Linked DNA regions of Xenopus tropicalis. The protein of the gene in region 1 interacts with the protein of each later gene in a biochemical or structural test. Links are inferred from orthologs where the notes say so. Each region holds a gene or a part of one and is shown in the gene's direction. Other genes may lie near its edges.

Region 1 (3,752 bases):
ATGGTATTAAATATTATTGTGGAAGGATAGGTTATCCCCCAAGTCATCATGGAGGGGCACATTTTGAGGTGATAATTTTGGGCTGTGGGCTGCTCGGTCCTGTTCTGTCGAGCGGTTGCACAATTCTGGGTGTCATTGTAGTTTAGCTGCCTCCGCTCCCTATAAATTTTATAGCAGTATAAATGCTCGTAAATGTGTGACATTATTACCTTAATACATGCATTAAAAGCACGTACGGAACTGGCCTCAAATCTTGGGATGAATAAAGTAAGCTCAAACTGAGTCTATTATATTTATTATAAGATAAAGAAACTTAACCTATGCCATCAAGGCCTTCTCTGTTTCAGTTGCACTAAAGGTGGCCATACACGTTAAGATCCGCTCGCTTGGTGAGGTCTAAGGGACCGATATCGGCAGCTACAGTCGGCCCGTGTATGGCCACCGTAACATCCAAATCATAGATGTGCTAAAGGCAAAATACTGTATACCAAGGACCCACTTATTTATAGATTGTAAGCTCTTTTGGGCAGGGCTCTCATCACCTTCTGTTTTTCTTATTGGTTACTGTGTATGTCCAATGTATGTAACCCACTTATTGTACAGCGCTGCGGGATATGTTGCCGCTTTATATGTTAATAATAATTCCTCATATTTAGATTGCAAGCTGTCAATGCAAGCATTCCATAATAGAGACAGCTTTGACTGCTAAACTTTCAGCAAATCACTGTGTGCATTATTAGCATCGATTCTGTTTATAGAATGTCCCAAACAGCCTTCCCTGTCGGAGAAAAGGAGGCTAGCCACATATGCCTGTGCCCTCCAGTTGAAATGATAATGAGACACAGACAGTCCTTAATCTGTTTACTTTCAATTACCAAATAGACAGTGGCCCACCCTTGTCTGTAGTCTTGCAAACATCCTGAAGCAACCTGATGGGATTCACAGTGCAGTTATTTCTTTCTCTCTGTTTATGCCCTCCTTCTTACTGCCTGCTCCTCCCACCACATTCAGTCTCCTGCTGGCTCCGTCTGCCTTCACAAGCCACTTAGACTTTGCTAGAGAGACAGAGAGGACAGATCAGACCCTACAGGGCAGAAAAAACAAGGATTAATCTGTATATCTGTCTTCCTTTGTCCTGTCGCCTGTTACAAAGTCTCACAATGACTGGGTTCAGCTGATGCAGAGGAAGCCTCCAGCTGTTCCAAGTTAGTGAGAACTTCAGCTGAGAGTTGGATGCACTGGTTTGATTTAATGCTCATTTATTGATGGTCTCCCCTTTGGAGAGAAGGGCAGGTGCTGTAGGTTTTGCCGTACAGATCCAAGGGAAATGAATGTTCTGCAAAAGAACAAAACGGGTTCTGTGCTCCTTTGGACATACTTCTTGTGGAGGATCATCCTGGCCGACTTCACCTTGGACAATGAGGTGCACTCTAGTTTTATCCAAAGGAGGTTGCGAGGCCAAGAGCGCAGGGAGATGCAGAGAGAGATTTTATCCATCCTGGGGCTGCCGCACAGACCCAGACCCCATTTGTATGGAAAGCAAAATTCTGCCCCTATGTTTATGCTGGATTTGTACAATGCTATGACAGTGGACGAAGAGGAAGCTGAAGGCTTCTCTTATCCATACAAGCCCATCTTTACCACCCAGGGGCCACCGCTGGCCAGCCAACAGGACAGCAACTTCCTCAATGACGCCGACATGGTTATGAGTTTTGTTAATCTAGGTGAGTACTGTTATCCCTTATCTCTTGCCTGGAGATGTCTTAACAGTTTGTTCTAGGTTCCAATAAACTTTCATATATGGCAGAAGTTTTATTGATTATACTATGATTTCAGTAACATTTTCCCATGCTTTACTGCAGAAACAGTCTCTGCAAACACAGGTTTTTAGCATTGCACGGAATTAGATTGTAAGCTTTTTACTTTTCCTTTACCCATTGGTGTCTGCTGGCTTTGAAGCTTTGCTTATTAGGAATGCAGTAGTCATATTTGGCAAAAGCACTTTGCTTGTAGTTTGTTTGGCGTGCCTTCCAGGGCATATTCTCAGGTGGAATGGTCTAGCTGCCTGCTACATCCGAGCAATTTCTTGGGATTGTACATGATCCGACAGGTCTGCGCACTTCTTTTGAAGTAGCAATTACTGTACAGAATAAGAAGAGAGCAGGAAATTCTGAGCCCAGCAGAGTTCAAAGCAGAACGCTCAGTGATTCACACTACGAAAATGAGCACAAATGGACTAGAGCCCTATTAGAGCGCTTAATAACATCCTTCAAACTGCATTGCTGCACCACCCTTTTACTGCTTGTGTCTTTGCAGCAAGGGATTCTCTAATGTGCCTTTTCAAGAAAGATGCATAAAGTAACTTGATTGCTGAAAGCTTAGTGCGTACACGGAACAGTCTCCCAGCATGGGGTTGTGCAAAGTGTTTCATTAAAGGGACAGACACACAAATATCTGTCCGTGTGATAAAATTCCAAATTATATATGTAGACACGTTTTAGACAGGTAAAAATACCCCGTAATATAGCACAGCCTACTAACTAGTATGAACTTCTAATCCCAGCGTTCCCAGTCGGCTATGTGCCGTCGGGGCAGTCAATCTTCATTGCACAGAAAGTTGCATCTGAATCTGCTTCCCTGTTTTCTGTAGATCAGTGGAAACCTTATGTCTTTAAATGATTGTGGGGTTTTGCCGCAGCGATAAAAAAACAGCTTGTGTTGTATAAACAGTGTTGTAATATTTGTTGTTTACATTGTTTTCTCTGTTATTGTTGTAATATCAACCCCCCCCCCTCGTAGGACGAACAACACTAGCAAACAGTCTAGAAGCAAGGGAACAAATATGAGGGCTTGATAAGACTACTAAGGCCAAATTTTCTGCTTAGGGAGAAGATGACTATCTTATGAAGGAGAAATAACCCGTAAAAATAAAATTTGTACAGACCTCTACCTCCCAAAAAAGTTAGTTGAACATCGCTGACAGGAGAGACATTGCGTTGAAACAGTAACTGAAAACCTTTCTGTAGTTCCATTGTTGATTCTTTGGGAACTTGGATTATTAGACTGTCAACACTAAGTAAGAGGGACGCAATCAGCCGGAGAAACAACCCTTTATTTCAAGCAGGTGTTCTCTTATCATAAATTACATTGTAAAATGCAGCATCTGTGATGGTTCCGCTAGCAGCCTATAATTTTAAGTTTAAGATTAGGGTGGCACAGAGTTAAGATGGCTGTACACACATACATGTGCTCAGTTGGTGGGATTGCCAAACAAGTAGATCTTTCACCCATTTTGCCACCCATGTACAGGGCAAAAGTAAGCTGATCTGGTCAGGGCCAACAATTGGATCCTAATGTAGGTCAATGCAGATCTTTTGAGGGAGAACCTCATCTATGAGCCAGTGATTCTGGTTTAGTGGGATTTACAAACCTGCTGGATAGATATCTGGCAGATTTTTAATAGGGATGCACTGAACCCAGTTTTTTGGGTTTGGCTGAATCCACCCCGATGGATTTGGCAAAATACCGAACCGAATCCTAATAATTAGGATCCATAAGGGGCAAAAATCCAATTAACCCTTCCAAATGCTAATTTGGCGAATCCGAACCCCGGTGAGAGAGGCTGAATCCTGGATTCGGTGCATCCCTAATTTTTGACCAGTTATCTGTTTGGCAGGCTTATAGAACAACCCGTGTATGGGTTGCTGAATGCTACACAAGCTAGGGGCCTGCCAGGTGAAGCCCATGTCCTG
Region 2 (3,752 bases), on another chromosome or scaffold:
GGGCCGCCATCTTGGGCCAGAGGGGGGGCAGCAATCCGCGCTGCTGAATGGGGAGAGATGAGATTAGCCCGGGAGGTGGCGGACGTTCAGACACGTTGCGCTGGAGCTGGCGGAGGGAGTAAAGGCGGGCAGTTACCGTCACGGAGCGGCTCCTTGCCGAGGCGTGAGTGAGGGACAGACCGACCGACTCTCTCATTCCTTGGGCGCTTGTACCGTAACGCCCGTGTTTGTATTGGATCCCGGGAAGCGGGGGGCTCGGATATATCCCCTCATCCCTGGCCATGGGAACTTCATGGGCACTTGGGTACCAGCTGGGCTAACCTTTCATTCTACCAGCCCTTTCCTATTAGTATTCCTGGGGCACCACCACTGGCACAGCTCAGGGGGGGCGAAATCCCTCATACCCCCCAAGTCTGGCACACCTGCCCCATCCCACCCTTTCCTGGCTGACCCTCATACCCCCCCATCTCTTCTCCCCATGGACACGTCCTGCTCTTCCTAAAGGTTCCACTTGGCTATCCGTAGCATTATATGGGGGACACCCTATGAACTCCTGTTCCCTGTGGTATAAACCCCCCCTAAAGTTTCTCTTTGGACTGGTCCATCTCTGCTCTCTGGGATAGATCCTAAAGATTCCTAATGGACGTCAGCTCTGCACTCTGGGGTAGATCCTAAAGATTCCTAATGGACGTCAGCTCTGCACTCTGGGGTAGATCCTAAAGATTCCTAATGGATGTCAGCTCTGCACTCTGGGGTAGATCCTAAAGATTCCTAATGGACGTCAACTCTGGGGTAGATCCTAAAGATTCCTAATGGACGTCAACTCTGGGGTAGATCCTAAAGATTCCTAAAGGACGTCAACTCTGGAGTAGATCCTAAAGATTCCTAAAGGACGTCAACTCTGCACTCTGGGGTAGATCCTGATGGACTGGTCCAACTCTGCACTCTGGGGTAGATCATCATCTCTATTAGGGTAGATTGTAAAGCTTCTCACTGGACATCGTTTCTACTCTCTGGGATTTATGCTAAGATTTCTCCATGGACACGAACAGCTTTCTCTGGGTTGGATCCTAAACAGACATATCCAGCATTCTCTGGGACAGAGCCTAAAGGTTCTTGGCTATATACATCTCTCTGGGGAACATCCTAAATATTCTTCATGGTCATATATAGATTTCTCTGGGATACATCCTAAAAGTTTGCCATTGATATTAACTGTTTAGATCCCTCCCCAGACTTCTTGATTTGTGATTCTCCCTTTATTATAATCTAGTTTTACTCTGGGATATATCTTTAAACCCCCCCCCCCCTCCCTCAGGCTTTCTGCTTTCTCTGGGATCGATCCTAAAGGCTTTCCATGGATATATGCTTTATCTGGGATAAATCCTTATTGCTTTATCTGGAATGGGCATAAACTGTTTTCTCTCGGATTGTTTCTAAAAAGATCTTTGCGGACGCCTGCTGCTTCCTCTGGGATAGGTCATTGGATTGTTAAAAAGGAACACAAACTGTAAAGGAAAAAACATGGGAGCTGCTACCAAGCTGGCCTTTGCAGTCTTTCTTATCTCCTGTTCCTCAGGTAAGACAGTCTCACACGTGTTTGTGGTTGGTCTAATAAAATGGCTGATACGCCAGTTAAATGTCAAATCCTTACGGGGATGTCTGTGTGTATGCACCGATTGCTTTGAACACAATCTGGCATTGTAAAAGTGACACTTTTAGCTGCCAGTTACCGCAGATGAGTTAGCATTATATTGGTTAGATCTGCAGTTACCTACGTAGTATCAGTTCACTTTAAACTACCTTTCATCTGTATCACGCAAGTCTCTTTAGTTTTATCATCATGGCAGTCTCCATAATCTGATTTTATTTCTTTCAAGTCGTTTTTGTGTATCTAGCTGTAAACGGCCTGCCTTTCTTTAAGGGGGAAACTAGGTAACACGAGAATCTTTAAACAAAATTTGCACTGTATGGGCAAGGTGTCTGCTCCGGGCACGGAATGGCAAGGCTGCAACTCGCCCGTAGCTAGTTGCGGGGTTGCAGAATGCTTAGCATTGCAGAATAATTTGCAAAGTAAGTGGTTTAGGCAGGTGGCAAGCCCTATACAGTTCGGCTCACTGATAGATGCATTGCCATGGCTGCTTTGTGCACACATCGCTGCAGGATTTCTTGCTATAGTTGTGTGATAATCAATCAACATCCACTCAGCCCTATGTACGCATTAATATTCCCATTGCAAGGTTTGTTCATTGCACTGTAGCTTTATTTGCTTTAAGCGAGTCGTCCCAATTAAATCTTGTATATAGGTGGGGGACAATGGATGACCTTCTTTATGTGCGACATTGGTTTTTAGGCATTAACTTATATGAACTGCAAAAAAAAAAAACCCTCTGGAATACAACAGTCTAGTGTATAACTAGATTTTATCTAGAAAAGCCTGGGGTGGTTAACCTAATAAGTGCCAGGGATTCTTTAAGGATATTTCCATTGATTGTGAAGCCATCTATCAAAAAGCATTAAATTCTTTCATTGCCAAAGGGGCAAACAAGCCTGTTCCAAGTCTGTCTGGCAGCAAAAGGATTAACTGGCTCCAGTGCCCTTCTGGACAGGCATACATAGTGTTTTTTTGGAGCAACCCTTGGGCTTTTTCAGCCTCTCAGACTTCCATAATCCTCGCAGATTTCCATTTTATTAAGAGGAGTGTGCTTTATCCAGCGCTGTCATTCAGCTGCTGACATTTACCTGAATTTGTATGTATCGCCCAGTCGCAGGCTCCTTTTATTTAACCAAGCACGAACTGAATCCCACTGTCTTTGCTTCAAGAGCTTTTACAGTTTAAACTGCTCGCGTCTTGGAACCGGTCAGATTCACGCTTAGACGGGAAGCTGCATTGATTTCCTCATTTATTTTCCCCCATTGTGTTGCGGACCTGTCAGGGTTTATGCCAACTTAGCAAATGGTGTGTTGCGCTTTGGAAAATCTGCTCACTTGTCCAGAGCTGAGCAATGAAAGGCCGTGTTGTTTGCGAACAGAAGAAACGTGAATGCTTAATGTCTGATTTATCTGTTCCTTCCAGCCAGTGGAACGTGTTCTGGTTCATTGGTGCAGAGTACGCTATAGAGTCGGACCATTCTCCGGCCTTTCAGATTTGATTTCACTCTCCAGTTGCTCCTGAGTTGCTTCGGTATTGTTCCCCAAAGTCAGACATTCAGCTTTATTTATAAAGCTTTCAGGTCTTCAAGGGCTCTGCTGAATGGATCTTTTTCCTTGTGGTTATTAAATAGGGGGAGAGTCTAGCCCTATGTCTGTAGTGGTATTGATTCAATGTGGGCAGATTGTGCTGTGAAATTGCATTTTCTGCCCAAGATTAACTCGATAAAAGACCAAATGCCACTTTTAAAAAATGTAATCACAAACATTTCGTCGTTCAATTTCGTTTTAAAGTATCACGTTGCTAAAGCTTATCAAAGGGTCACGTTTCAGATCTGTAAGATCTCGTAGTAATTAAGGGGAAAGACTTAAAGCAAATTAAACCTGAAATAAAGATGTAAACATTGGTAAGAGTTCTTCTCTGAAATATTGTGTGTTTTACATTTTTCATGTTTTAGTGGTTTCTTAGAAGCTTGCAGTTTTAGATTGCTAATATGAGAAGCTCTTTTAGGGTTAATTTATGGTTAACTGGCTCTGCAGGTGGCACATTGAAAGTCAGTGACCATAGCTAAGAGAGCTGCTGAACCATTAAAATGTGATTA
Region 3 (3,652 bases), on another chromosome or scaffold:
CACTTCAATATGGACCAATCTAATTGGTCCCATAGTGAGGTTTGGCCACTGAACCCTTGAAGACACACACAGCTAGTAGTAGCAGCTACTTTTTCAAGGCTACTAAATGCCAGAAAATCCCCTGCCATAGACAATACTCAGAATTGCCTCTGCTAAAACACACGTAGAGACAATTATCAGTAAATGATCAGCATTGTCTATTTTAGTAGCCACAACAAGTAGCTGCTACTAGTAGCTCTGTGTGTCTTCACCCTAACACCTTGTGATTTTTAAAGCACTAAAAAGAGAGAATTTCAATCATAGGTGACACAAAAATTTTTTTATGCAGATTAGGCTTTGTTTATGTATTTTTTGCTAAATCCCCAAATAATGAAGTCAGGGCATCCCTGTGTTTGGACGCGCCTAGCAGTTTGAGGACATTGCTGGAATATTTGGTGTGAGACCTTTTGGTGTGTTGCCACTAACTCCGATGTGCTATTGTGCTGGGATCAGTCAGCAGCCAATCACATTGTGTCGCAGCTAGTGTGTCGGCATTCTTGCTAGTGAGCGGGGCTTTGTGTAAGTCACAGTCTGGGCACGCTTGCAACATGACATTTGTACACTAGAAGCTGTGACAGTTGAATAGAAAGCATGATGTGACAGCCGACAGTTGAGAGTAAATGGATAGGAAGCAATGGCATAAATAGGAGTTACTGGTCCCCAAGATCATTTTGGGGCCCCATACACAATACCCACCGGGTAGTTTACTTCACAGGTTTCCAGCAGGCACAGGTTCTGGCTTCCTTTATAGCTACGTGCCAGGAAAAAGATACACGGCCATAAAGATACCCATACATGGCCGACCATGCCAGATCTAACAAGTGACATGTTTTCTCTTGTATTTGCCCTTTTGGGTGAAATTGAATTTACCCATCCTTTAAAGATGGAAAGGTATGAAAGGTGAAAATACACCCTTTTATATGTTGGTTTGGCCATCATTTTAATCTTTAAATGGTCTATAAAACTTTGGCCCAGCAAGCATTATTTATCTGCATATTTGCGTTTATTCTTTAGAGTGGAAGCAGCCATTGTTGGTCATGTGATTATTCCTTGCCCAGCGCCCTCTGCTGGCTGTGCGAAGTAGCACTTGCTCTGCTGAAACTGCAGTTTTCAGACATTCCCAGTAAACATAACGCGTGTTCCAAATGCAAAACTTGGCCTTTAGAACCTGGTGTGTTGCAAGTTGATGGCGCAATCTCTCCAATTTGTCCTATAAATTCTGTTCTTTCTCCCCATCCAGGAAAAGGGCGATACGGCGAAGTATGGCGGGGTCTCTGGCAAGGAGAAAGCGTCGCAGTGAAGATCTTTTCATCTCGAGACGAAAAATCCTGGTTCAGGGAGACGGAGCTGTACAACACTGTGTTACTGCGGCACGAGAATATTCTGGGTGAGATGTTGTGCCGTACTGCGCCGCGGAGCATGTTGGCACTTTATAAATACTTGATAGCGAGCACAGTTTTGCTGCAAGGGCTGATTTTTGGCCTCCTGAATGCTGGTAAATGTTCAGTTTGGGATGGCGAGGATTTAATTAGCAGAAGCCTGTCCTACATTCTCACCAGATGGCTCGAGCGGATGGGAATGCAAGACAGCTTCTTGTTTTAGTAACTGTTTGGTAGCAACTGCTGTCAGTGGAAAACTCCAGCCGCCCCGGCTCTCTTGTTTCTATTAAAGCGACAGTTTCTCTCTCTCTCTCTCTGTACGCCCCGGAGTAAAAGCGGCACGGAGGGAAATAAAGACGGCAGATAATCAATAGTGGGGTAATCAGGCCGTTTCCTGTTCGGGGCGGAATCGTTGCAATGAAATGCTTTTATAGAATAAACCAGTTCTGCTTTCTTTGTGCCAGACCCTAGGGGCGTCTGCGTTTTTTACATTCCCTGCCTTTGCAAACATTTCGGCACACTCATCTGTTTGGCGTTCTCGCCTGTGTAAACGTTTGGTCTTAATCTTAAACTGTGGTTTTAACCCCCTCCTGCCCAGCTCCTTTTGGAGCCCTTTGTAGTGCAGTGTGCAATATATAAACAGAAGAGCCGCATAAAGGGCAAAGGCATAGGTATGAATTCATCTCCGAGTTAAACACTCTAAAACTAGCCATGCTGGGCTGCTGTAACCCAAGTCGGCCTGTGCCGACGTCTCTAGAAGTACTGTGCACCAGGTGGAACAGAGTGGAAAGGCCAGGGTGTGCTGGTGAGTGTGGATTGGCTGTGTATGGTGCCTGCCCAGCCAGTGTATAGTCTGGAAGGTATATGTCAAGCAGCTTAGACATCCTGTTGAGCAAGGACTTCACTGGCAGTCCTTTCCCAACAGGTCTCCATAGGCCCCCGTTATGATCTGATGATCCCAATTTTGTGCTGTGCATAGGGGAACATCTGCTTGGTTGTAGGACCAGGTTAAAGGGATAGTGACTAATAGGAAGGTGTCGCTATTCCTATGCAAGCGCCCAGCACTAGTCCTGCATTCCCAAGCTGCCCTTTGCTTCTTATCTGTGTTCATCCCATACACTGCTTCCAGAACAGGGAAGTCATGGTTGACGTTGGCTTGGGGGGTGGAGCACAGTACTGATAGGCTGGAAAACAAATTTAAACGTTGCCTAAGCCTGTCATTGCTTTTGCTCCACCCCCTCCCATGCCTGACTCAATCACATCCCATTCCCCATTCTTGAATCTTGTGTTGGGAATTGGCAGAGGTGAGTAGCAGACGGCTGGGTGGGGAAGCAGGGAGCACCTTGTATATTAAGAGTGTTACCATCCCTTTAAGGTACATGGCTCCTGAGACATATTCTCCACCATTGTTTTTTAACTAGCGGAGAAATCTCTCATTTGCATTAATGGAAACTGCTTGTCACTACTGGTTTCTAATGACAGACGACTCCTGCTGGGTGAAGCCAATAATGGAGAATACGTCCCACAAAGGCACCTCTCTTGCGTTCACCATTGTGGATAACAGAACCTACACCTGTCACATGTTTATACAATGCATCTCTTCAGTTAGCCGTGTGTTATCCTGGCACCTCCTTTGCCCTCAGGGTGCAGGCAAATGTAGTTACTGACCCACAATATGGGTAGTGGGGACATAGAGAGGAAGTGGACACAGTGCCCAAGCCTATTCTTTCCTTGTTGTACACAGTATTGTTCTTTTTTACATAACTCTTATCTCATCATGTTGTTACCCCTGGAAACATATTATAAATCATTTGGTTGTTTCGGGTAAAACATTTCATGGGCAGGAACTCTGTCAGATCAAATGATATCTCTGTTAGGGCAGATGAGGAGATCTGCGGGGAGTTGGGAGATGATTGGGTTGCTGTACGGAGGGAAGGGTGCGCCTGTGATTCTCTCTCACTGTTTATTCAGGGGACGATGAACTGCTCTCCTTTAATGCAGTTCTGTTTCTTTAAGCCTCGTTTAGTAAACCATTGAGATCTCGTCCTTTTAAACTGCCTTTTGTTTCTGGATAATGCACATTCCAGTCACGCACTCCTTGTTTTATGTTTTTCCAGCCCATTTTAACTCAAACACCTTTCCCGTATGCGTCTGCATGTCCAGACAGAGGGCCGGGAAGCAAAAGCAGCGAGATTCCTATATTCCATAGATACCAAGGAAAAATACATTGGCTG

Evidence for each region.
Region 2: the proteins of bmp7.1 (region 1) and acvr2a are reported together in a solved structure, tested with the Homo sapiens proteins (2 studies listed by BioGRID, with this or other methods). The link is inferred for Xenopus tropicalis from reciprocal best matches to the Homo sapiens genes BMP7 and ACVR2A.
Region 3: the proteins of bmp7.1 (region 1) and acvr1 form a complex in vitro, tested with the Homo sapiens proteins (2 studies listed by BioGRID). The link is inferred for Xenopus tropicalis from reciprocal best matches to the Homo sapiens genes BMP7 and ACVR1.

The regions. Positions count from the first base shown.
Region 1 is NC_030686.2:5,569,028-5,572,779, forward strand, and holds the start of bmp7.1 (bone morphogenetic protein 7), read left to right. Parts: upstream 1-1,141; 5' UTR 1,142-1,327; coding exon 1,328-1,724; intron 1,725-2,944; exon of another isoform or gene 2,945-2,965; intron 2,966-3,752. UniProt on the Homo sapiens protein: Growth factor of the TGF-beta superfamily that plays important role in various biological processes, including embryogenesis, hematopoiesis, neurogenesis and skeletal morphogenesis.
Region 2 is NC_030685.2:77,286,274-77,290,025, reverse strand, and holds the start of acvr2a (activin receptor type-2A), read left to right. Parts: upstream 1-945; 5' UTR 946-1,524; coding exon 1,525-1,579; intron 1,580-3,752. UniProt on the Homo sapiens protein: On ligand binding, forms a receptor complex consisting of two type II and two type I transmembrane serine/threonine kinases.
Region 3 is NC_030685.2:73,922,981-73,926,632, forward strand, and holds part of acvr1 (activin receptor type-1 precursor), read left to right. Parts: intron 1-1,279; coding exon 1,280-1,426; intron 1,427-3,652. UniProt on the Homo sapiens protein: Bone morphogenetic protein (BMP) type I receptor that is involved in a wide variety of biological processes, including bone, heart, cartilage, nervous, and reproductive system development and regulation.